Saccharomyces cerevisiae S288C: one gene and its partners. The gene in region 2 interacts genetically with the main gene of each other region. Each region holds a gene or a part of one and is shown on either strand. Other genes may lie near its edges.

Evidence for each region.
Region 1: mutations in UTH1 (region 2) and OM14 together harm fitness more than expected from each alone (negative genetic interaction), as found in Saccharomyces cerevisiae (one large-scale study listed by BioGRID).
Region 3: mutations in UTH1 (region 2) and PAL1 together harm fitness more than expected from each alone (negative genetic interaction), as found in Saccharomyces cerevisiae (one large-scale study listed by BioGRID).
Region 4: mutations in UTH1 (region 2) and RSO55 together harm fitness less than expected from each alone (positive genetic interaction), as found in Saccharomyces cerevisiae (one large-scale study listed by BioGRID).

What each region holds. Positions count from the first base shown.
Region 1 is NC_001134.8:679,049-683,082, forward strand, and holds OM14 (Om14p), read right to left. Parts: upstream 1,003-4,034; coding exon 992-1,002; intron 895-991; coding exon 501-894; downstream 1-500. Other genes in the region: glucan 1,3-alpha-glucosidase ROT2, read right to left, coding at 1-173; COQ21 (Coq21p), read left to right, coding at 1,314-1,514; SWC5 (Swc5p), read right to left, coding at 3,131-4,034.
Region 2 is NC_001143.9:517,893-524,441, reverse strand, and holds UTH1 (SUN family protein UTH1), read right to left. Parts: upstream 4,916-6,549; coding exon 3,818-4,915; downstream 1-3,817. Other genes in the region: PLN1 (Pln1p), read left to right, coding at 1-219; YKR045C (uncharacterized protein), read left to right, coding at 473-1,024; UIP5 (Uip5p), read right to left, coding at 1,096-2,427; SHB17 (sedoheptulose-bisphosphatase), read left to right, coding at 2,730-3,545; YKR041W (uncharacterized protein), read right to left, coding at 5,492-6,244. UniProt on the Saccharomyces cerevisiae protein: Involved in aging, oxidative stress response, and in the regulation of mitochondrial biogenesis.
Region 3 is NC_001136.10:1,169,826-1,177,021, forward strand, and holds PAL1 (Pal1p), read right to left. Parts: upstream 2,001-7,196; coding exon 501-2,000; downstream 1-500. Other genes in the region: mitochondrial 37S ribosomal protein mS43 MRP1, read left to right, coding at 1-318; YPS7 (putative aspartic endopeptidase), read right to left, coding at 2,561-4,351; ATP22 (Atp22p), read right to left, coding at 6,295-7,196. UniProt on the Saccharomyces cerevisiae protein: Involved in the early step of endocytosis.
Region 4 is NC_001144.5:702,153-708,105, forward strand, and holds RSO55 (Rso55p), read right to left. Parts: upstream 2,809-5,953; coding exon 2,341-2,808; downstream 1-2,340. Other genes in the region: YLR278C (uncharacterized protein), read right to left, coding at 1-1,872; PUT7 (Put7p), read left to right, coding at 3,034-3,978; ECI1 (dodecenoyl-CoA isomerase), read right to left, coding at 4,046-4,888; NNT1 (S-adenosylmethionine-dependent methyltransferase), read left to right, coding at 5,208-5,953.

The DNA of each region.
Region 1 (4,034 bases), on a different chromosome or scaffold from region 2:
TCGGCGTCCACTTTGTAATAGCAGTGATGAGATTTGGCAATATTTTCTGCATAAACCCTGTTTCTATGGCAAAACCCAGATTGCGCACACTTCTTTAATAGATAGTCGGTAAACGCATGCGAAAAAGCGGTAAAGAAGACCAATTGGCATACGAGCCATTTCAAAAGGACCATGTTGCATACGGTTGATTCGAGACCGCTATTTTAAGATACGCAGAGCAATCAAATAACTCCAAGCAACATGTTCATTGAGTTATAGCTCTCAAGTGCCGTAGTGAGAAAATGTCGTGGTCCGGGTAAAACAAATTAAGGGTACTTGAAATGAAAAAAGAATGATAGTAGACAGAAAAGCTATTATATTATAGAAACTTATCACTTGACCGATGAAGAGGAAAGCACGTTTCCTTACAAATAAATCAGCAGTAATAGTTATAAAAATATATGTATATAAAGTGTGTGAGTGTGTGAGTGTGTGAAAGGATGTTATTAAATAGTATGTTATTATTTCTTGTCGTATCTGGAGTAGTATTTCTTTGAAATTATACCGTCCAGCGTCAAAAGACCCAGAGCGCCGGCGGTTGTTGCTAAGACTGTAGAGTTAGGTTTCCCCTTCAAGAATCTGGCGTTGTGGTTCGCATACCCGTTACATAAATAACATACCACTGAAGAATGCAGCAACAAGTTGACCAAGACAACGGGATTCTGAAGTTCTAAAAAGCATACTTTGGCAAAGTCTTGCGTCTTACTGACAAAAGCTTGGAGGTAGCCGCAAGCGACTGCTGATGCACTATTTAACCGTGCCTTCAGATATTCGATAGCGCATTCCTTCTTATTGTTGTGGTGGTGACCGTCTTCAGAGTCAGAATTTGGGCTAGCGTTACTGTCGTGTTTAGCACTGGGGAAAAGAAAGATGGTCATAGATGATATACGTTAGTCAAAAGAGAACCGGGAGAAAAGATTAGGCGATACGTTTCAGATATTAGTGTACATACGTTGCAGACATATTATGAGATGCTGGAGGTAGATGTTATGTTTCTAATTGTTGGAATAGGGTTACGTCGGCGGTTTCGGTTGAAGTGGGCACATTGATCGACACTTTATATACGCAGGGACGATTAACGGGAGAGGAGGTAGCGGCGGCGTCATTGGCCGCTGGCCCGGGGTAGTAGGGCAGGGAAAGGGGACGGTGAAAAAATAAAACGTAAGTGGGACAGCAGAGATTTGAGGAGTTGAGGCAAGAACAGAGGAGAGAACGAGAAAGCGGATAAGCAACAAAGGAAAAGGAAACAAGTAAAAAAAAAAAAAGAGACTAGCATGAGAAACGAATTATACCAGTTATGGTGTGTGGCGAGTGCAGCAAGAGGGGTAGCCAAGAGCTCATTCGTAAGGGCCAATTCGGCCATGTGTGAGTACGTGCGCACGTCCAACGTCTTGAGTCGCTGGACTCGGGACAGGCAATGGGAAGCAGCTAAGGCCCTATCACAACGGGTCAAGAAAGAGTATGCCGCCAATTAGTGCACACACATACATATATTTTATATACTTACATATTTGGTTGCGTGGTATATAGAATCTCTCCTTTCGCTTCATGAATGAACTCATTCATGCGAAGTCAAAGGAAAAAAAAAATAAAAAAATAAAAGAGCGAACGGGAAGACGAGAGAAACATCAAGCGACCAAAGTAAAAGTCAAGAACGACTCCACAAGTGCGAGGGTCGCGACGTCTCTAACTTTAAAAACAGGCGTCAACCATCAAGTCCGTTTCTTGATGCCGCCGGCATTCTTCAAATCCCTCCAAAAAAAACGCCTCTATGACATAGGCGGTTAATAAAACTGGCCTTGAAACAACAGATGCAGTCATGGCTCTTCTCTTTTCCCAGCAAACGCCTTCCATTGCCTCCTTTTTTTCTCTTCCAGAACTCTCTCAGCAGTATTCTCACAAACACATCTCCTCCCCTTTAGCAAACCTCCATTTATATCCTGCGAGAAGAGCTCCTTCTCCTCAATGAGAAAATAAGCACAAAATAAACTGGGAAAAAAAATATAGTAAAAGACGCCAGCACGTTAACAATGGAACACTCTTATTGTAGACCAACCCCACCCTACACCCCCTCAAACCGAGGACACTTCAAAAGGAAAATCAACAACTTTGGCCGATACTTGGGGGATAAGCAAGCTTATCCTATTACATCAAAAAAAGAATCGTAAGACACCTTTCCTTGCAAACCAAAAATCATAACAAAGTCGAAAAACTTCCTCTTGCAGCGCCACCAGAAAAAGAAGACGAGCGAAGAAATCAACAATAAGAGCGCCCCATCCGCACTAGCACCCCATACCATAAATATTATCTCCCAACCTACTATAGCACCATTTCTTCCCATCGATAAAGAAAAACCAAATCCCGCGTTGGACATAAACGGCTCGGAAAGACAGGGAAGAGTATGAAGCAAAAAGCCAAACTAAGGGAGAAACAGAAAGCTAAAAAAAAGAAAATAGAAAACAACCAGAAGAAAACAAAAACAATAACCTTGAGCAACCGTCGTCTCAAAAACCAATTTCGAAAAACCATCATAAAAACGCCTTATGAAGAAACCATGAGCGAAGAAAAATAGCAGCAAAAAGTAGTGAGACCTGACATTAGCGGAAAACAACTTGCTTAAAAAGTCTCTTCCCGTCCATTTTATTATTTTGGGTGCCAAAAAATGTGTATTGTAACAAATTAAAAGGTAATGAGCCTCATTGAGGTCATTTCAGTTGTTACACTGAAAAGAACAGATACTACACTTGATCTAAGCCAAAAGGCAAAGAGATTCGTGGGGATTTAAAAAAAAAACAAGTAGAAACAAAATGAATAAATCTGATAACAAGTAAAGTACTCATCGATGAAAAAATGAATGTAGAGCCCTTTTTATATGTTTTCACCGAGTGGCCCATCGGAAACGGCAAAAAAAAAAAAAGAAAGAAAAAAGAAAAGAAACATAGAGCGTTGCTAGGTTTTTTTTGCCACCCACACCCATACACCCCATTACTTTGTCTGCAGCATCGTTATACACGTAGTGAAAGTGTGCAGGCCTCGGCGGTTAAAAAAATTTGAGCAGAAAAGCATGTTATTTAATACATGTAATATTTGTCTATGAAGCTTCGCTATCCTGCTGCAACTGCTGAGCAAGTTGTTGCCGGCGCAATTCTTTGTATCTCTCGTCCTCTGCAGACCCGACCCGCTGCAGAAATTCTTGCCGGGCCAAGAACCCATCCTTGTTGTGCAGCACCAATTCGTCGTTAAGTCCAGCACGGTCTACATAACTAGCCCAGTCCAGCTGAGATTTTTCTAATGTCGTTAGCTTGGGTCGTAGCCCGCCAGAAATGATCTGCTCCAACAATGGAGGCCTTTTCAGTGGCCGTCGCAAGTGTTGCCGGCTTTCATTGGACTTGGTCCTAACTGCTTTTTCCAGTTGAACAGGAGCAGCAGGCGCCTGCTGCTTAAATTTCAAACTGTTTAGATATTCTTGACCCTCCGCACTGCTGCGTGAAACCCATTTTTTCTCATGGACAGTTTCACCAGCAAACTTGTAGTTTCTTTCGATGAGGATTTTGTCCTCCTGTTGCGCGGCCGTTGTCGACCTAGCCTCCTTGGAACCGTCGAGAACAGAGCCGACTTTCCCTGAACTGCTCAAAAGACGGTTCTTACTAGCTTCCTGTAGCTCCTCCCAGATGCTGTTTACTTTTGCAGGGATCGATTCAACAGTTAACGATTCATACTTATGTGTTTTCGCATATTCTTCCTCAGCTTGCCGAGCTCTTCTAGTCTTGATCAGTCCGCCGCTCTCGCTCTCTATACGCGAATAGTCCACTTTATTTCTACCCTTATCTCTGTTCACACCGTCATCATAGTCGTCACCGCCATCGCTGGCATCACTATCGTCGCTACCACCACCTAATTTATCTTTTTCAGGCTGGAAGTCCTCGTCCTCCTCTTCTATGTAGCCGTCCTCGTCCTCGTCCTCCTTTTCGTTTGGTATAATCTTTGTCTCTACT
Region 2 (6,549 bases):
AAGTTGCAGTCTGTGTACATCGACCCAACAAAGACTAAGCTTAACGAAACCTACCAACGCTTCACCACTGTCTATGAAAACAATCTAAGTAAATCTGAAAGCGTCCCTAAAGCCATTGTATCCACCGGGTTGGACTTGGGCAATGCCACCATTGAGAAGCTAAAGGCCTCAAGAGAAGACCAAACCAATTCTAAGCCCGCGGCTGTGTCGACCAATTAGTAATTTGGTTTTGCGCTAATCGTGCGCCTGATTTTTTTTCCTGCCACTCTTATATAGTTATTTGTTATTATTCTATTATTTCATCTATTGTTTGCTAGCTATTATGTACGTTGCTGTTTGAGCACTATATACAATTGAATACCAAAGAAAAAATTATAAAAACGAAAAAAAAAAAAAAAAAAAAAAATTTGGTTATAGCTCGATCAAGAGACAATAAAAGTGAATATACATGGTGCCAAGGGAAAGTCCTAGCATGTCAAACAGTCATCATACATCCCAGGGAAGAAGAAACAAACTTTCAGTGTGGGTTAAAAAAATAATAAACACCACTACCACAACTAACGCATCGGTCTCGAGCAGTAAACCAAGACGCGGCACTAGGGCTGGCCCCACAAGAGTTAAGCGTGCTGAGTTGGATCCGGATGGAACAACCATCAGTTCGTCGTTGCGACCATTGGTTGATCGAAATTCGTTGCATTCGAGCGAATCCGATGACGAAGGAGACCGTCGAGTGGCATGGGATGAACCACCAACAGGCAAAGTAAGACAGCAGCAGCAGCAACAGCAGCAACAACAAAACGACAACGCAAGTGTTATTCCGCTAGTATCGTTTTGTTCCTCGTCAGTGAAGTCGTCTACTTTCTCGGACATTCATTCAATACAGTCTACGAGGCCCACAATATTCTCTAACAGGACGTTTGAGACGAATTCTAGCGTTCTGGCCATCCCACCACAGAGTATATTGGATCGATCAAGAACCCTCCCGCCGTCGAACGCAAGTAACACTACCACAAGAAGACCGTGAATTGGCTACCTAAGATGAACGTCCTATATTGTATTATTTGTGTATGTATGTATGTGCGTGCCTATGCAATGCTACATGGGCAATAGCCCCACAGAATGCGAGCCTGCCCTTTTTCTTCTGGATCTAATTTTTTTGAACCTTCTTTGGAAAACTCTTATGCAAGCAGAAAAAAGATAAATGCCCATGATCAATAGCAAAATCTCGCTATAATGCCATATGGTCAGCACGACCTTGAACAACCGAGAGTGAGGATTGTTTGAAGTTTTCTGTTCAGCTGACTGTGACCCAGTCTTGATGTTTGGTTGAGCTTTGATCATTTTCCATTTGGTGAACTCATCGGGTTCCCTGTCAAGGACCTCGCCAAATTCCTGCTCCAGGAATAGCTCAGCTTCCTTTGCGTAATCATAGGTGTCCTCAATGGACGCATCCATGTCGTTCCAATGGAATTCGCTAGTGGATACGTCCAGCAGCTCCACTGTCTCCGTTAATTGGCCATTTAATGCGCTACAGCCAATGTATCTTTGCCCCGTGTGCATGTTTTTCGGCAAGTACAGATTTTCGGTTGTTTGAAATAACTCAATCCAGTAGTTTCCCTCTTTTGCGTACTGCACGTCGATCTTCAGGAAGCTTATACTTTCCAAATATATTATTCTTAGTTTCGTGACTCGATTCCACAGGGCATTTTTCTTGAGTTTTATGTGGCCTCTTGAATTAAGCCGCAGCGATGTACTGAGTTCACCATCACTATTTATATCGTACCAATCGCTTTCTGGGGCCACATTTATAAACACATCCATAAAGGGTACCTCCTTATGGTCGTGGCCTTGGTTGCGATACGTATCCAAGACAATAAATAGGCCAGGCAGATTTTTCGGGAAGCCCATCAGATCTGTATTATCGGCTATGACGCCCTGAGAATTCATCATGTATTGCTTTTTCGCATACGACGACTGTAAATTCTGTGTGAGAAACCCATTTTCGGGCGTAATGGCAAAACACATTCCATCACCAGTGAGTTGTGTAGTGGGGTCGTGAGAAATTCTGAAAGTGAAAACAATCTCAAAGTCATTGATGGTGTTGTCGCCAATTCCATTGGACAATACTAATCCATGTTTATCTTGATCACGGTCCTGAGTCAATTTGATCGACTGAATATTCCTAATTTGCGTGGCACCGCCTACATGCCAAAACTGGTTGATCTTGTCCAAAAACGGTATAGATAAACTAGCATCATGGTTGGGCACACGCGTTACATGTGATCTTCCTCTTGTAAAGGGGCTAGTCTCTGTATGGTACTGATCACCATTATTGAGATAAATCTCAGCCACTAATTGGAATATTAGAAACAATGATAAAATCAATAGTGATATGGCTAGTTTCTCTGCCCTTACATCTCTTGACATCGTTACTTAAAGAGAGAGCACACACGTTATAAACTACCCACCGCCAAATTGCTATCCAATGTTAAGGATAGACAAATGCAAAAATATATAAAGGAAACCAAAATCTGCTTATATAAAGCGTAAATCTTACATTTTTCACTGCTTACTCACTCTTATTGTTTTTTTTCTGTTCAACCACGCGATGAGTTTTTTTTTTCCATTATTATTTATAGGACAAAAATGAAAAAATATTAGCTCAGATAAGCACATTTTGTTCATAGCTAAGTGGATAGGGAAACACCTACACTTAATTGCAAGCAACAATGCCTTCGCTAACCCCCAGATGTATCATTGTCAGACACGGTCAAACTGAATGGTCCAAGTCAGGCCAGTATACTGGTTTGACAGATCTACCGTTAACGCCCTACGGTGAGGGCCAAATGTTGAGGACCGGTGAGAGTGTTTTCCGCAATAATCAGTTTTTGAATCCAGACAACATCACTTATATCTTCACCTCTCCACGTTTGCGTGCCAGGCAAACTGTGGATTTGGTTTTGAAACCATTAAGCGACGAGCAAAGAGCTAAGATCCGTGTGGTGGTAGACGACGACTTGCGAGAGTGGGAGTACGGTGACTACGAGGGAATGCTGACTCGAGAAATCATTGAATTGAGAAAGTCACGCGGTTTGGACAAGGAGAGGCCATGGAATATCTGGAGAGATGGGTGTGAGAACGGTGAGACTACTCAGCAAATTGGGTTGAGACTTTCCCGCGCTATTGCCAGAATCCAGAACTTGCACCGCAAGCACCAGAGTGAGGGCAGAGCATCAGACATCATGGTCTTTGCGCACGGACATGCATTGCGTTATTTTGCTGCTATTTGGTTTGGACTGGGTGTGCAAAAGAAGTGTGAGACGATTGAAGAAATTCAAAATGTCAAATCTTATGATGACGACACAGTTCCATATGTGAAATTGGAATCTTACAGACATTTGGTAGACAATCCATGTTTCTTACTGGACGCCGGTGGGATTGGTGTTTTGTCATACGCTCACCACAACATTGACGAACCTGCATTGGAATTAGCAGGTCCATTTGTCTCACCACCAGAGGAGGAATCCCAGCATGGCGATGTGTAAGCAATCATTCGAAATGCAAAAAAAGATATGCAGTTATAGAAAGTGATAAAAACATTTTTTTTCTTGACTTTTTATGTTATATAATATGCTATATATGATAATATCTAGTGGTATCTTAAAAAAGAAAAAATAATGAAATAAAAGGGATAGTACAAAGGACTGTGTTTTTTTGTATTGTGGAAAAACGAACTAATTGAAAAATAAACCATAAAATGAACGGAGTAAAAAAAGTACTAGCAAAAGCTTATTTGCAATATTCAAGGAAAAAAGGCCTAGTAGAAGACAAAGTTAGCAGAACCAGAAGTAACTGAAACAGTACAACCGTCAGAGCCAGAGCCAGAGTAGACACCATTTTCGTAAGAGCAAGCACCATTGACGGTAGAGCCATCGGTGGCAACGATCTTGATGTTAAAGTTTGGTGCTTCTTTGTTGTTTGGGTTTGGAATGATGGACAAGTAAGTGATACCATCAGTGTAACCAGCACCCAAGACAACTGGGGCCCAGTTACCGACACCGGAACCCTCAGTACCCCAGATACAACCATCTTCCACAGAGACACCAGCGTTGTTAACGTAGTATTGGGCAGAGGTCTTCTTACCTTGCCATTGATAGTAGGAGTCCTCCTTGATGACGTTGATTGGTTGGGAGGAACCAGCGCCAACTACGGTAGGAACGACCATGTTTTCAGAACCTGGATAATCGGTACCACAGATAGCAATGGAGCCGGAGACCTTGTTAACAGCTTGAGCAGAGCCTTGACCTTCTACACACAAACTGTTAGTGTCGGTGTTGGAACGGTATAATTTACCGTTCTTACAGTATAAACCACCAACGGATCTACCATCGGAAGGTTGTTCAGAAGGCCATTGGGTCTTAGCGTAACCTGGAGAACAAGCGTAAGAACAGTAGTATCCGTCTTGACAAGAGGTGGCGGTGTTACCGTTCATGTCCATGATGGAAGCCCAGCCGCCTAGACCTAACCAGTCCAAGGAGACAGCACCTTGTCCGGATGGGAAATCAGAACAGGAAATGGTACCATCTTCAAAATCTCCAGAACCAACAGAGGAAGAAGAGGAAGAGGAGGAAGAGGAAGAGGAGGAAGAAGAGGCGGCGGCAGAGGTAGTAGCGGCGGCGGCAGTCGAGGACAAAGTAGTGGTGGCAGCAGCAACAGACTCGACCTTTCCATCAGCAGCCGCCGAGGTAGCGGTGGTGGCAGCTGGAATAACAACAGCGCCGTCTGCGTTGACGTACTGAGTAACGGTGACAACGGCACGCTTGTCGTTGTGGTGGTGGTTGTCACTATGGTGGACAGCTGGAGCGGCCAAGACGGCGGTGGAGGCTGATAAAGCTAATAGAGCGGATAATTTCATACTGGAATTTCTTGAAAAATTAAGGGAGGGTAAATTTTTGTTTAAAGGAAGGACTAGTAGTTGGTTATATTCAAATAAAAATGAATGAATGAATAAAAAATAAACGAAGTTTAAGGAATGAATACACTGGAAATTGTGTGGTCGTACTTTTTTTTTTTTCTTCTTAGTTACCGATGAAAGGAGCGTAAATTGCGGTTTAAAATCTTTGCTGAGCTTTGATCTGGGAGACGCCGAGGTCTCGAGAAGGAAACACATTAGATGGTATTCACTTATATACCCGAATCAGGAGAAACAAAGGCGAAAAAAAGGAAAAATTTTGTTTTGTCTGCTTTTTTCTTTTTCCGCACGACCCGGGCCGGGCCGTGCAGAAAGACCTACTTGCCCAAAAGCGGCAAAACGTCAACACCACCTCTACATTTCTTTTTATGGACTCATTAGGTTTCCCGATCTGGAAAAGAAAGGGCTTTTCCAGTGCCGCGGCCTCGAGATCCAGGCACCAGGAACTAGGCACGCTGTGTATTCTAACACATTGAAGGGCCTAGGCCCGCTGACGTGGGGTCTAGTTCCACTTTTTCATTACCTTTTCTCGGTCTTTTCTTGCTCCCACAGGCCGTTAATGGCCTGAAACAGTTTTGTGACTTTGGACTTATGATAACGATGTTTGTCCGGGTGCCACCGGATTCTATCGCGGCGAATCAAGTCTAGTCTGTTTGCATCCATCAAGGCACTGCTCATTGTGTAAAATTGTTCTACGCTTTTGTCATCAATCATATCTAAACTCACAGCCGCTAGGGTAGGTGTGCCTGGCAGTGGTAAGGTAGCCGGCTCGTCTTTGGTCATGCGCCAATACTGTCGAACGGCCCGCGCGTAGCGTTCTTCGGCTTCAACCTTAGAGCTGATACCTTTTGCCTGGTCAAAGGCGAAAACGTCTACCTCGCTTTCACTGCTGCTTTCGCTTTCATGACTTCGTTTCAAGCGGTCTCTTTCGCTCTCGGTTGTAACACACTTGTAGCCTGCTATGCTTTCACCGTACTCGAAAAGCGTAGCCTCATGACTAGTTGTACCAACGCCCTTTCTTTTCTTTTTTTTCTCTTGACACTTCGGCGTATTCATCGCCACTGGTACAAGCCGTATGGTGCTTTTTTGCTCATTTTCGTTTTGACGTTGCGATGGTTTCGCGGACCAATCGCATGGGTGGTGGTGGATGTTGTCTTTGCTAGTTGCAACGTAGTCTTCTTCTCTCCTGCGCTTTCTGACGAAAATTGGCCTTACGTATCTTTTTTCGGCGTCGTTGTCGTCATCGCTGTTCATATAATCGTCGTCACTCATATCGGCGCTTTTACTGCATGCTGTCTTTTGAAGAGAGTTTCATTGAAAAGTAGTGAAGAAAAAAAAAAAAAAAAAAAAAAAAAAAAGGAAAAAAGCTTACATACGGAAAGAGAAAAAAAAAAAAAGAAATTTTAAAATGGACGAGTCCGGAATCGAACCGGAGACCTCTCCCATGCTAAGGGAGCGCGCTACCGACTACGCCACACGCCCATAGTAGATATATTTTCTGATGTCCTAGGAATTGGATCATATATTTTTACAAGAATGTGATGTATCAAACAAGCTTGGAGTGGAGTATTCATGAT
Region 3 (7,196 bases), on a different chromosome or scaffold from region 2:
AATGAGCTCAATAACCAATATACCAACATGGAAAAACAACGAGCCAAAGAAGCCGGTAATCTTGAAGATTCTGAGATGACTGCCAAGCAAGCCAAGACAAAATTTATTTATGAAACCCAACAGAAAGGTTTTTCTGGGAAAGAGGTTTCATATATCCCGCTTTTAGCCATTGATGCGTCACCAAAAACATGGTTAACTGATTATGGCGTATTTGGGAAACGAGAATATTTAGAAAGGGTATGGGACTCTATAGAATGGAAAATTGTAGAGTCAAGGTTACCTCAACGTACTAAGATCCAAGCATTCAACACGTTATGAATGAAACTGGTAATGGGAATTTTTTCCTTTTGATATAAGTTGGTAGTCTCTGTAAATATATAAAGTCAAACTATTCGTAATGTGTATATAACGTGGTCTTAAATTATTTTTATTCGTATCTCTCCCTTTTATTTGCCTGGCTTTGGTGTCTCATAGCTTCTTTTCTCTCTTTTAAGCTCACTTTACTGACTTTTCCTGCCGACCTTTAGACTTTTTACTCTGCTCAGTAATTTGCTGCCCGTCGATTTCTTTTTCATATTGGGCTCATTGTAGCGCACACCCAAATAAACGTCTTCCTCATCTTCATTGTGATCATCTTGGCCGTCGAAATCAGTAGTATAATTGGACTTATGCGTTCTGTTAGGAGAATTAACGGTTTTCGACCTTCTAACACCTTCATTGCTGTGACCAACATCATAGTTGTCTCTACTTAAACTCAAGTTTCTTCTAACGCCTGTCATGGGGGCATTGCTATCACCGGATCCTCCGAGACCTAATCGTTGAGAAAGTGACTTATTTCTTTGTAAACCACCGTTACGATTATGATAGGAATGGGCTTTTATGTCGTTTCTAATGGCAGCTGAGGAGGCCGGCGCCCCATCTAAAAACGTACTAGAACCTAATCCCGCAGTAACTGGCCCATGAACCAATTCTGTCTTATTTTTGGCATCCATTTGTTGGACGTTACCCACGTTTGCTTTTATTGCGTCCTGCGTATCACCACCTCTCCTTAGAGTCTGCGAACTGTACTGGTATATATCAGAATCATCTGTATCATCTCTCCCAAAAACCTCATCCAGGGCAGACTTCTTGGTTGAAGCGCCACCGATGGTACTGTTTGGACCATCGACCGGAAATGCTAAAACAGGCGCAGCTTTGTTATTTTTATTTCTATGAGGTGTTACTGCATCGAATGGGCCGTCATGATGAAATGAGCCACCGAACAATCCAGTTACATCTAACTTATCGATAGTATCGACGTTCTTAGGAACAATAACCTTACTTTTTCTCTTTCCCTTCTTAGAAGGCGTTGAAGATGAGGAAGCTTCACGGTGATGGTGGGATGAAGATCTGCGTGAAATATATGTGCCGCTGTTGCTATGTTCGCGGTGAGAAGAAGGACGAGAAACCTTTTCCTTTGGATATGCACGCCTTGATCCATTGGTTGAAGTGATCTCTTCGTATGAGGGTGGTAGGTCAGTGTTTTCTCTTGTGTTACCTACTGTACTTACGTCACTTTCCTCCAAATATCTTTGCCTTAATTGTTCTTTTTCTTCTTTAGCAGTGGGATGATTTTTATTCCTTGAAACAGGTGGGGGAGACCTTCTAAAATCGGTTGCAGAACTCACATCGTCTAGGAAAGGATTCTTTGAGGAAAGAGGTCTCGAAGGTGGTGATAAACTACCACTACTAAAGCTCTCCAAACCAGAATAAAAAGCACCCTGCTGATCTGCGTTTCGCTGGGGTTCATCCTCTGGAATGTTTGGGAATGATAATTGTGAAGAAGTTCTTGTGTTCAATTGTGGCATATCAAATGAATTGGTACGAGATTGGTTTTTCGCCCACTCCTGAAACTGGGAGTCATTTTTATACTGATTAATACTTGAATCAACTGTGGCATTTCTAAACGGGTTATTAACAGAAAATGGCCTACTAGAGGTACTACTGTTTCTATTCTCCATGCTAAATCTTGCGTATATGTATCAATTTTTCTAAAAATGGAAAATGCTGGCAAAGTGTAATGGAACCTACAATGTATCAACAATTAAGCAGTCGAAGATTATGGTAAAATGACGTTACGTGTTCGAAGGGATAGGTCTGCAAAACACTTAAATTCCTCGAATAAAAATAACAATAAAAAGAGCGAGGTAGATCGGATATATTTCGGATTCTACACACTATAAAATACAAATTAGAAATTTTACAGAGTTACCTCCCAAGAAAGAGTATCTTCATTTTCTAGTGAATAACCTATCGCCAGTCACCATGATCTGCTGTTGAACCAACCTCGAGGCGGGAAAAAAAACAAAAAAAAAAGTAACGCGATTTACGCTCCGTGCACGACGATTCTTTGAGATGGCTGCCAATGGTTGATCACAAGTACTAGCTTCTACACAACTGGATAAGAATGACGCATATATACTTTTAAGTATGTTGTTATTAAATCTGCTATATAATGATGTTATACGTGCATTGGTCAAGGAGAAAAAGGTTTTATGTTATGAACTTTTGTTAAAACCATTCAAAGAACAATAAGTATCGAGAATATCGAAAGTAGTAGCAAGGAAGCTATACGAGTTACATGTCCAGCTGGATCTTTGTTAAATGTATAAGGACTGCTCAATCGAACGCCTGCTCCCGAAGCACTGCTGGTTCTATTAGTTGAATTTGACCACTCTTCTGAGGCTGACACAGAAAAGCTGTCGAATTGAGTACTGGATGGTCTAGCACTTGTGCTTGCTCTTGAAGTATCATAGAATGACCGGCCCGCACCTGTAATCACACCGTTTGAGTATGCTGCTGTCAGTTGACCTGGGACAGTGAACATATAGCCTGACCTATAGGATGGATAAAGAGTCAAGTTTCTTGTATTACTACTATTCATCACTTTTGCGTAAGGAATGTAACCAGATTTGATCTTCTTGATGATAGTGGACGCGGTAGTTTCATTTGTCTCTTCAGTAACTGCGTCATCTTCAACCTTCTTTGCCTGTGCAATGGCTATAGTGTTATCCTCTAAGTCCATTGCCATATATATATTTTTTATGAAGGCTTCTCCGAGTATGTTTACTCCAGTATTTGTATTAGCGTATAGTGTTAGAAAACAAGCTTCCTGTCCAGAACTGAAAAACATTGAAGAATTGGTGGATGTATCGTAAGTAGATGATAATAAATCACGTAGGGGTATTTCAATTGTCAATTCTCGAAGCCTGAAACCCAAGGAGACACCCATATCTGCTATAGAACATTGGACTAGCCACCTATCTAGTGATTCCACATAAGTGGCCGCAATTTGAACGGCAATCTGAATAATGGTACTAGTTGGCAGGTAACTGACCGAAGAAGTTGAATCAAGTAAGGCTGGGCTCAGAAAGTCCTTCGAAGTCATATTCAAACTTTGTCCGCTGTTAGACACAATATAAATAGGGCCTAATGGCACAATTGGGTACCCAACACTAACAGCATTACTCACTGGGTCAACGTAAGGAATTAAGTCAAATTTTCCCAGTGTACCGGTAAACAGCGAAGGATCCACCCCTCCAAGAAGTAGCTTCCCACAATTAGATATTGGATCTCTATATGTTTTGTACGTGGAAGTGTCTCCAGCCAACCACAGTGAATATGACGAACTTTCAATGATATCTGCATCTTTCAATAAGGATAGAAAATAAGACTGTTCTGTGTATTGTGAGCTATCGATAGCATTGCCTGGGTTTGTGACCTTCCCGCTTAAACCTAACAAGCCTGAAGTCTTAAAGTTCGAGGACTGAATATCAAAGAAGGAAACGTTTGAAATGGATAGGCTCCCCGAGTTAAATTGTACGTTATCTCGAGTTACCATTAAATCGGTTATCAAAGCGGTCGAGGAATTTTCTGAGGAAACATTTGTAAAATTCATATCGTCTGTCACCAAAGTACAGTTAACAGCTCTACCATCAATGAAAGAAATCTCATATATTTGGCCAGGAGAAACAGGAACAGATGATGTAGAGTCATTCATGAGGTAGCTGGGATGCTTATGATATACACCGGAGTATTCGTTATGACTTTCGCTTGTTCCGGAAACCAGATTTATGTACGGTTGGATAATATCCACTAGCAAACGTTGGCGTTGACCGGGAGTGCCAAATGTGCTATTAACATAGTAGTTTCCTCTACCATCTTTACCCACGGCTAGTACAGGAAACGGCTCCTCCGTTGACGAAGAGGTTCCAGACTTTGCTGTAGTTGTTGTATTTGCAGTACTAGCCGTTGCAAACTCTAACTGAAAAGTTGATATGAGCCACAGATACCATAAAATTAGGCATGTCATAGCAAAAATCAACGGCAAATAAAGCAAGCACGCAGTTACGATACGTTCAAAGATCTTTCCAAGTTCTGTATCCTTCTAGAACGATTAGTCTAATGCAACTGATATGTCCAACATTCTAAATATAACTTATTTTGGTATTAGCTGCATCATTCTACCATGATGAGCTGCGGCGTTCAATATCTCATTTTTTTTTGTTCGGGGTAACGAGGTTCATTGTTGCAAATAGCACGACCAAACGAGCGGTATGATACAAAGCACTGCAAGTCATAGCTGAGGTAAAAAAAAAAAGAATGAAGATCTCATTGTTTGGGTTAAATTACTTTCAAGAGCCTCTTTTTTAGGCTCGGTTGGTTAAAAGAGCAAGAACCGAAACACTAGTGCATCAATTTTTATAACAATTTTGTAATTATGTTGATAATTGGCAGTAAAGTTACAAAATACACACTAATTAAAATATTGAACACTTACAATATAAAGCTGATATCAAAATAAATATCGAACAATAAATACAACTCTCTCCAATATCAATATACTGCCGTCGTTATTTAAAAAATTAGCCCACCTGGGAACATTATAGAAAGAGATTTGTTTTTTGGTCTGGCAATGTGTCATAATCAAGCTCTTTGCAATATACATCCCCAACTCATATATTTGTATACAGGAAGAAGAATCGACCACCATCTATCGACTAGCATATTATCATATACGGTGTAAAAAGATGACATAAAAGATGAGAAACAGGGTAATCCCAACAATTGTCTCAATATTTACCTATTTCTCACATTGTCACCGCTCGAAAGTGCATTTTATATACGTTCTTTTGTGACGACTACTTTTGGCGGGAATCTTAGCGCCTTAAATGCAGTGAAAGATTACTCTTTTGAGTTATTGCCTGAATTTTGTCTGCAAAATTGTTATTATTCAGGAATTTAGAATAATTCAACTCTGGAGGCCTGCGCTGTACTACGGGCTCAAGTAATACCGGAGTGTCTCGACAATCCTAATATAAACAGTCTTAGGGAAGTAACCAGTTGTCAAAACGGTTTATCAGATTAATTCACGGAATGTTACTTATCCTATATATTATATAAAATATGGATCATACTAAATGGTGGAAGCGCGGAACCTTGGATCTAAACTGTTGGAATAAGAATCCACTATCGTCTATCAACTAATAGTTGTACTATCAATATATTATCATATACGGTGTTAAGATGATGACATAAGTTATGAGAAGCTGTCATCGAAGTTAGAGGAAGCTGAAGTGCAAGGATTGATAATGTAATAGGATAATGAAACATATAAAACGGAATGAGGAATAATCGTAATATTAGTATGTAGAAATATAGATTCCATTTAGAGGATTCCAATATCATCGAGGAGAACTTCTAGTATATTCTGTACACCTAATATTATAGCCTTTATCAACAATGGAATCCCAACAAGTCTCTCAAAATACACCCATTTCTCATAAACCAATTGTTCAGGCATTTATACGTTTAGATAGCCCAGCTATAGAAGGCGGAGTTTTACCTCATGTTGCTCAATCTGTTCGTTTTCTTAGGTTTCATATGTGTTCTATGAACGTTCAGGATAATGTATTGTCATGCTGACGTATCCCATTCTGAGATGTAACGTCTGTACAAAACAAAGCTTCAGTAGCTCAGTAGGAAGAGCGTCAGTCTCATAATCTGAAGGTCGAGAGTTCGAACCTCCCCTGGAGCATTTTTGCCGAGCACGGTACTTTTTTTTATTCTCAGTAAATGAAATCCAAGGGCTCATTTATTTGAGAAAGTAAATAAGGTATTAGAGGTAATAAAGTAACCATGGGCCAAGAAGACATATTCATAAACTTATGAAAAAACTTTGTAGGTATTAATAACTTATGGGTAAATTACTATCTATGAATGAATATTTACTATTTACTAGTGCTCATCTGGATATTAATTTAGACTTTTCAACGTCTCTCTTATAATATTTGTACATTTATTAACATCATCATCATTAAATCTAGGCTTGCCATCTTCTTCGAACATATCTTCGTCAGTAAACAGGGTGCTATCAGTAGGTTCTTTAATGTTATTATTTTCCACCAATTCCGTCAGTAAAGTTTCGTCAAAGTTTTTGGGAAACGGCCAGCCTTGGTCTTTTATTATCTGTATCAAAGCCATATGCCTGATTTCAAAGCCCCCGAAGAGTATCTTATTGTACCAGGAGCGTGCTCCTTTTTCGTCTCTCATTTTGACATAATGCATTACCATTGCAGAACAAAATTTAAACGTTAAAGGCACCCCATTTTTATGCATCACCTGTAGCAATTCTGATAGTTCAGCCTGCGTTAATGTATGATTTTTATAGGCTACTATGGAAAAGGGACATAGCGTGGTAGTTAAAACCACTTTTTTGGCGAAAGGTTGAGAATAAAAATCCAGAAGAACATTGTAGGCCAGCCTTGGTTCACGAGCTTGGAATCTAATATAATTTAGGAAAACATTGAGGATTCCGGTATCATTTCTCCAATACCTGTATTTATGAGCTTCCTCGGAAAGAAAACTCTTGTACTTGTAATATAAATCAAGAAGACAATTCTTGAATTGACCACTTTCCAGTGAAACAGAACTCGAAGATAAAAGGCTTCTATACAGTTCAGTTAAAATTGGAACAGTCACTGGTGATCCTATTCGCATTGTGTTCGGTAGAATATTATTTTTGTTCTTCAGCTCTCTTGCTAACGTAGGAGCTGTCAAAGTCGTTGATTTTGAATGATAGAGCCACCCCCAAATCCCTAGGGCATTCAGAATATTAGCAGACGCCTTTGAGCTGTATGATGAGAGGAGATATTTAC
Region 4 (5,953 bases), on a different chromosome or scaffold from region 2:
TTGACATTCTCTAAATAGTCTATCCTCCGGGGCGAAAAATTCCAAATATGGTTGTATAAGCAATCGCACTGATCTATAGTAATAAAGTTTTAGTGTCTCGTTTTCGAAATTTTTCACGTCAAGAGTGGAATAACTTTTTCTCCAAACTTCCAAATCTTCAAAAAATTTTCGTACTAGGGGCAATTGATCAATGGATTGCTTCACTGACCTGGAATCGTTTTTCAATAGCTGTAAAGTCTCTACAAATTGAGATTCAATTCTTCGCAGCTTTAGAGACTGATTGATGAATTGCACACCATGGTCATTGGTTGATGGAGCCGCCGCATGCACACCTTTTGTATAAAAAGAGTCGTTATTGAAAAGAGGTAAATTTATTTCCGACTCCTTGATTGTATAAGGTTTCCCCACAGCAACACAAATCATTCTTTCCAACAGGTAAACACACCAAAATAGTCGCAGTTTCTTATTTGCAAATGGATCATTAGGATACCATTGATTTAGATGAAGTTTCTTCTTGGATATGCCCATGACATCCTTGATTATGTCATATAGTATCAGAGAATCTCTATCAGTCCTAATAATGTAAAGGACAAGCAATGTCAACAGTTCTATTTGCTGAACATAATTCAAATGTAGACCACACTTAGTGATGTGACGGATAGCGGTGGAGAAATATCGGTGAGGTGGAAACCCCTTGTACTTACCTGTGGTCATCAGTAAGTAGGCGCTGATGCTGAAGACAAGCCACATTCTGCCGGATAGAAAATGAAATTCTATTTCAGAATACGAATGTGAATTCGACGGTGGTGCTGCGGAAGACGTGGCGGGAGAAGATGGTGGGATAAGAATCTTGTTGTGGAGGTAGTGGTCATAAAAAGTATAGATTTCTTGTTCGTCTAAGATAGGGTACTTGAATTGTAATCTTGTGAAAAAAGTGTCCAAGAAGGAACGTGACAGCTTCTCATTCAGTTCAAAAATAGGGTCATACATCAAAAACTCTTTTTTCAAATTGTATTTGGCAAAAATACACTTAGTGAAGTCCAGCGTCTCTAAAGGGTCATTCAAAAGGCTCGCGGATTGGCAGATAGCATTATTGTTGTTTATGTTGTTCGTACTGGCCGATGTATCGTTAGTGGCCGCATTAACGTTGCTGCCGTTATTGTTTGTGTTCTCCAGGGGTTTGTTGGAAGGAGATGGCAGCGGCAGTATGACCATATTGCTGCTGTTCGGTCTAGAGTAATCAGAAGTGTTGTTACTGAACAAATGAGAAACCTTCTTGTACTGGGATAATTCGTAGTTGTACTGGTTGCATCCCGGCGATAAATCGAGCAAAGTCTCCAAACTTTTTAGTTTTTTCTCCAAGAAAATCGTATACTGATCTTTGTCTTGCCTCATCAGGTTTGGATTGGAATTTGTCGTGACGGACTTTATCGTTTTCCTGAATTCATTCGCGTCGCCAGCATCAACATTACTATTGCTAGTGGAAATGGGTTTTATTATCGTCATGTCATTCAGAGAAGTGGCAGCGCCAGCGCCAGCGCCAATACTGCTATCTTGCAGCTCACGTTTTATTACAGGATGAGGTGTAGGAGGTACAGTGCCAGCTGTAGGGGTGTTGTTGTTGGTGTTACTGTTCGAAGTGGAAGAAGAGTACTTGGAGGGCTGCACGCACTTTATTCCTGCTTTCAAACAGGCGGTACAACTGGGTAATTTATGGTCGCATCGTTGCTTTCTTCTTCTACAAAGAAGACAAGACCTGGAACGGCCCTTTTTGTCTTGCAACAAGACGTCTGTCCTGTTACCGGCCAGCTCCAGTTCTCTCTTCAACTGTTGTATTTTCTCCTGGCTAACATTCTTCCTTGGACGGCCCATTATTATTTACGTGTATTGTTGGTAGTTAGCCCGAAGATTATGAGTACGTGAAATACACTTGTCTTTATGAAAGAGTGGAAAAATGGTGGGGAGTAAGTTATACTATTGACGTGTAAAAAAAAAAAAAAAAAAATGTTAATGGAACGACCGATCTAAAGAACCATATATAATGAATGACTAAAAAAAGCAAAATAGTTAAGAATCCAAGAAAGATACTAAGAAAAGGCGAAAAGAAAAAGAAAAAGTATGTCCGCTAACAAAGATTAGCGTATAAGCACCACACGATGCGATTCAGGTCTCAACGTGCAGTGTGCAGGAGCAGGAACTATTCAATGTATTGTTGTTCCAGGGTTTTTGTTCGCAACCCACGTCTTGACCGACGGTACCCGCAGGTGAAAATTTTAGCAAAGTTACACTTTTTTTTTCATTTTTTTTTTTCTTTTCTCCTCCATCTAATTTCACCTGCGGTTACCGGCGGAATAACTCGCGCACCATTTCTCTGTCTCGGGCCTCGCGTTCCTCTTTTTCGACTCGAGCGGCCTCTTCACGCTGCTCGTACTTCGCGACGCTGCGCCGGCGCTGCGAGCGTTTCTGTTGACGGTGCCACTGTAGAAGCGCCTCCTCTCTGGACGGCATCGTGTCGTACGACGCCGCAAGTTCGCGCGCGAGCTTAAGCCGGGCAAGCTTTCGATTTTGCTCACGTGACCGCGTTTCTTGGCACTCGACAACGATCCCAGTGGGTTCATGCCGTAGTTGTACCTTAGAATTACACTTATTAATCTTTTGGCCACCGGGCCCTCTGCCGCCATGAAGGAATTTCTCAGTGCATTGTGCTTCCATCTCTGGCGTGAACTTTGGTCGCGGTGGTAGCTTGTTCTTTTTAATCAGCAGCACTGCGGCACTGCTGATTGACCTCTTACTCGCTCCCCTCATCATAGTTTACTAGTCTCGGATTCTTCTGCGCTTTTTCCAGGGTCGCATAGCTTGTAGGTTGGTAGCATAGACTTATATATAAACTCATATCCGTTCTAGGAACGTATAGCGCGCTATGGTAGTCCGGGGAAAATGCACAGTTTAGTTAAGTGTATAGTAATTTTATCGATAAAGGAAGAATGGAAGAGGTTTATGTATACATGTAAACTCTGAACATCTAATAGACTAATGATGCGGTTAATACGTACATTGCCGCTTCGATGCTTCAAAACTAGAATACGGCGGCAAGGCTCGTTGTTGTGTTTGCGGTGCTTTAGTTCGTATTCAAAACCACTTTTGCAGAAATCAATGTCATTGAAAAATATCCAGTTATCAGACCTATCCTCATCGCCATTATCCAAGAACAAGGAGAAGCAGGAGAAGCCAGAGAAGGAAAACGAAGGAAAGCACTCCATTGGCCTGTTAGACAGATTTTCAGAGGACTTTATTACTCAGGGCAATGGATTGAAACCTACTACTTCACAAAATCAATTGGATACTATAAAGTTTTATCAAATGCTTCGTGAAAGAGGCAATTTTTCCGATGAACAATGTAAAATTATCATAGCTCTATTGTTGCAACTACTAAATGATCAGTTTTATTCCTGTTACAATGATTTGTTCTTAAGGGATATGGAGCTGAATAAACAATCACATTTGTTCAGCTCGCTAGAAACAGAATTGAAATTCGCAATTCAAAACTCTAGAGACACGCAACTAAATGAGCACCACTTGCAATTATTAAAACTCAAGAGAGAACTTAACTCAATCCATGATGAACTGAATGAAATCATAATAGATCTTTTGCAAAAGGACGCTAAATTAGAATTTAACAATCAAAAATTAGAAAACACCCTTTTGTATCGACAATTAAACCTGAAATTGAACGACTGTTCTAACAAGATTCAAACCAAGATACTGGGGGATATCAGGTCACATATCGAAAATTTAAGATGGCAGACAACCAGAAGCGGTCTTTTGGTAATATTAGTCCTTGTTTGTTCGATTATGATCGGTGTAAGCGCATCTAAGAAGGAACGCCCAGGTTTACAGGAACCTGAGGAACCTGAAATTTTAGCACCAAAGGAAGACATTGATACTACCTTCCCTCAAGATCAACATGATATAGATTAATTAGCATACATATTGTCTGTACATAAGTATATTGTGTGTGCGTTTTGTTTCACTGAGAAAGCGGACGTCATAAACGATGCTTCCTTTGTTTCGAGCCCAGCTGCCTAAATCTTTTTAAGGGCTCTCCATCTACCCAATACTTGAGAGATTCATTTACTTCCACTGAGTTAGCCTTATTGAATGCATCGATGTGGTTCGATTTCAGCAATTTTTTCATCCCTAAGCAACTGGGCAGGTATAGCCCTTTCACTTTCTCCCTCAATTCTTCTAAGACCTTTGCATTGAACGCTTCAGCGTTTGAAGATGGCATGTTAAAATTCTTGCTTATAAATCCGTTCTCGCACATTATATCGTACTTGAATGGTTTGTTGAACATGAGGCATTCATACGTCGTATTTGTGCCAAACTTCAATGGCAAAGAGACCGTTGTACCACCTTCGGTAATTAGTCCTAAGTTAGCAAAGGGGTATAGCAAATAAACCTTGTCATTTATACTGTACACAATGTCACATAACGCTACCAGTGCCGCGCTCAACCCTATTGCTGGTCCATTCAAACAGCAAATTAAAACTTTGGAATGCTTGATGAAGGCATCAGTGACATAAACATTTCTAGCGACAAAATTTGACACCCACTTGCTTGTTTCCGAAGGATATTTATTGGTATCATCCCCTTGGGCTTTTGCAATACCCTTGAAATCAGCACCACTGGAAAAAAATCTACCACTGCTTTGTATAATTGTAAAATATACATCACGATTTCTGTCCGCTAGTTCTAGTAACTCTCCTAAATAAATATAGTCTTCACCTTCTAGTGCATTCAAATTGTCAGGGTTCATTAAGTGAATAATGAAGAATGGTCCTTCAATACGATAACTGATTTTCTCATTTTGCCTAATTTCTTGCGACATATTGTTCTTCCTTCCTTTACTGTGCGAGCAATTTGTGCCATACACTCCAATTATCTATCCATATGTTCATCTTTCAGTTCTTATATATAGTGCTTCACTTTTATTAACCGCTCTTGGGGTAAAAGAGAAACGGTCACTGCTACAGCCTTTCGGAATAATATTTCTTATGCCCGTCGCCAATTTCAGATTCTTTCCTTCGTGCCGCATTTATTTTATTTTTCAAAATGACGAGAAGTTAAAATCTAAAATCAGGAAAAAGAACAGTTGCAGATGACGAAATACTTCGAGCATTATCGCAATAAATAAGGCGTGTAAACGTATGTCAGATATAGAATCATTGGGAGAGGCAGCAGGTTTATTTGAGGAGCCAGAGGATTTTCTTCCTCCTCCACCAAAACCTCATTTTGCAGAATATCAAAGGTCACACATCACAAAAGAGTCCAAATCAGATGTTAAAGACATCAAACTCCGTCTCGTTGGAACGTCACCACTTTGGGGTCATCTCTTGTGGAATGCAGGAATATACACCGCAAATCACTTGGATTCTCATCCAGAATTAATAAAGGGGAAGACTGTTTTAGAATTGGGTGCTGCTGCTGCTTTACCTTCCGTTATTTGTGCTTTGAATGGGGCTCAAATGGTTGTTTCAACTGATTATCCAGATCCTGATTTAATGCAGAACATCGATTATAATATAAAGTCTAACGTTCCTGAAGATTTTAATAATGTCAGTACGGAGGGTTATATTTGGGGAAACGATTATTCTCCATTGTTGGCACATATCGAAAAAATAGGTAACAATAATGGAAAGTTTGACTTAATCATTTTAAGTGATTTAGTCTTCAATCATACGGAACATCACAAATTACTTCAAACAACAAAGGATTTATTAGCTGAGAAAGGTCAGGCGTTGGTAGTATTTTCACCGCATAGACCAAAATTGTTGGAGAAGGATTTAGAATTCTTCGAATTGGCTAAGAACGAGTTCCATTTGGTTCCTCAGCTAATTGAAATGGTTAATTGGAAACCGATGTTTGACGAAGACGAGGAAACAATCGAAGTCAG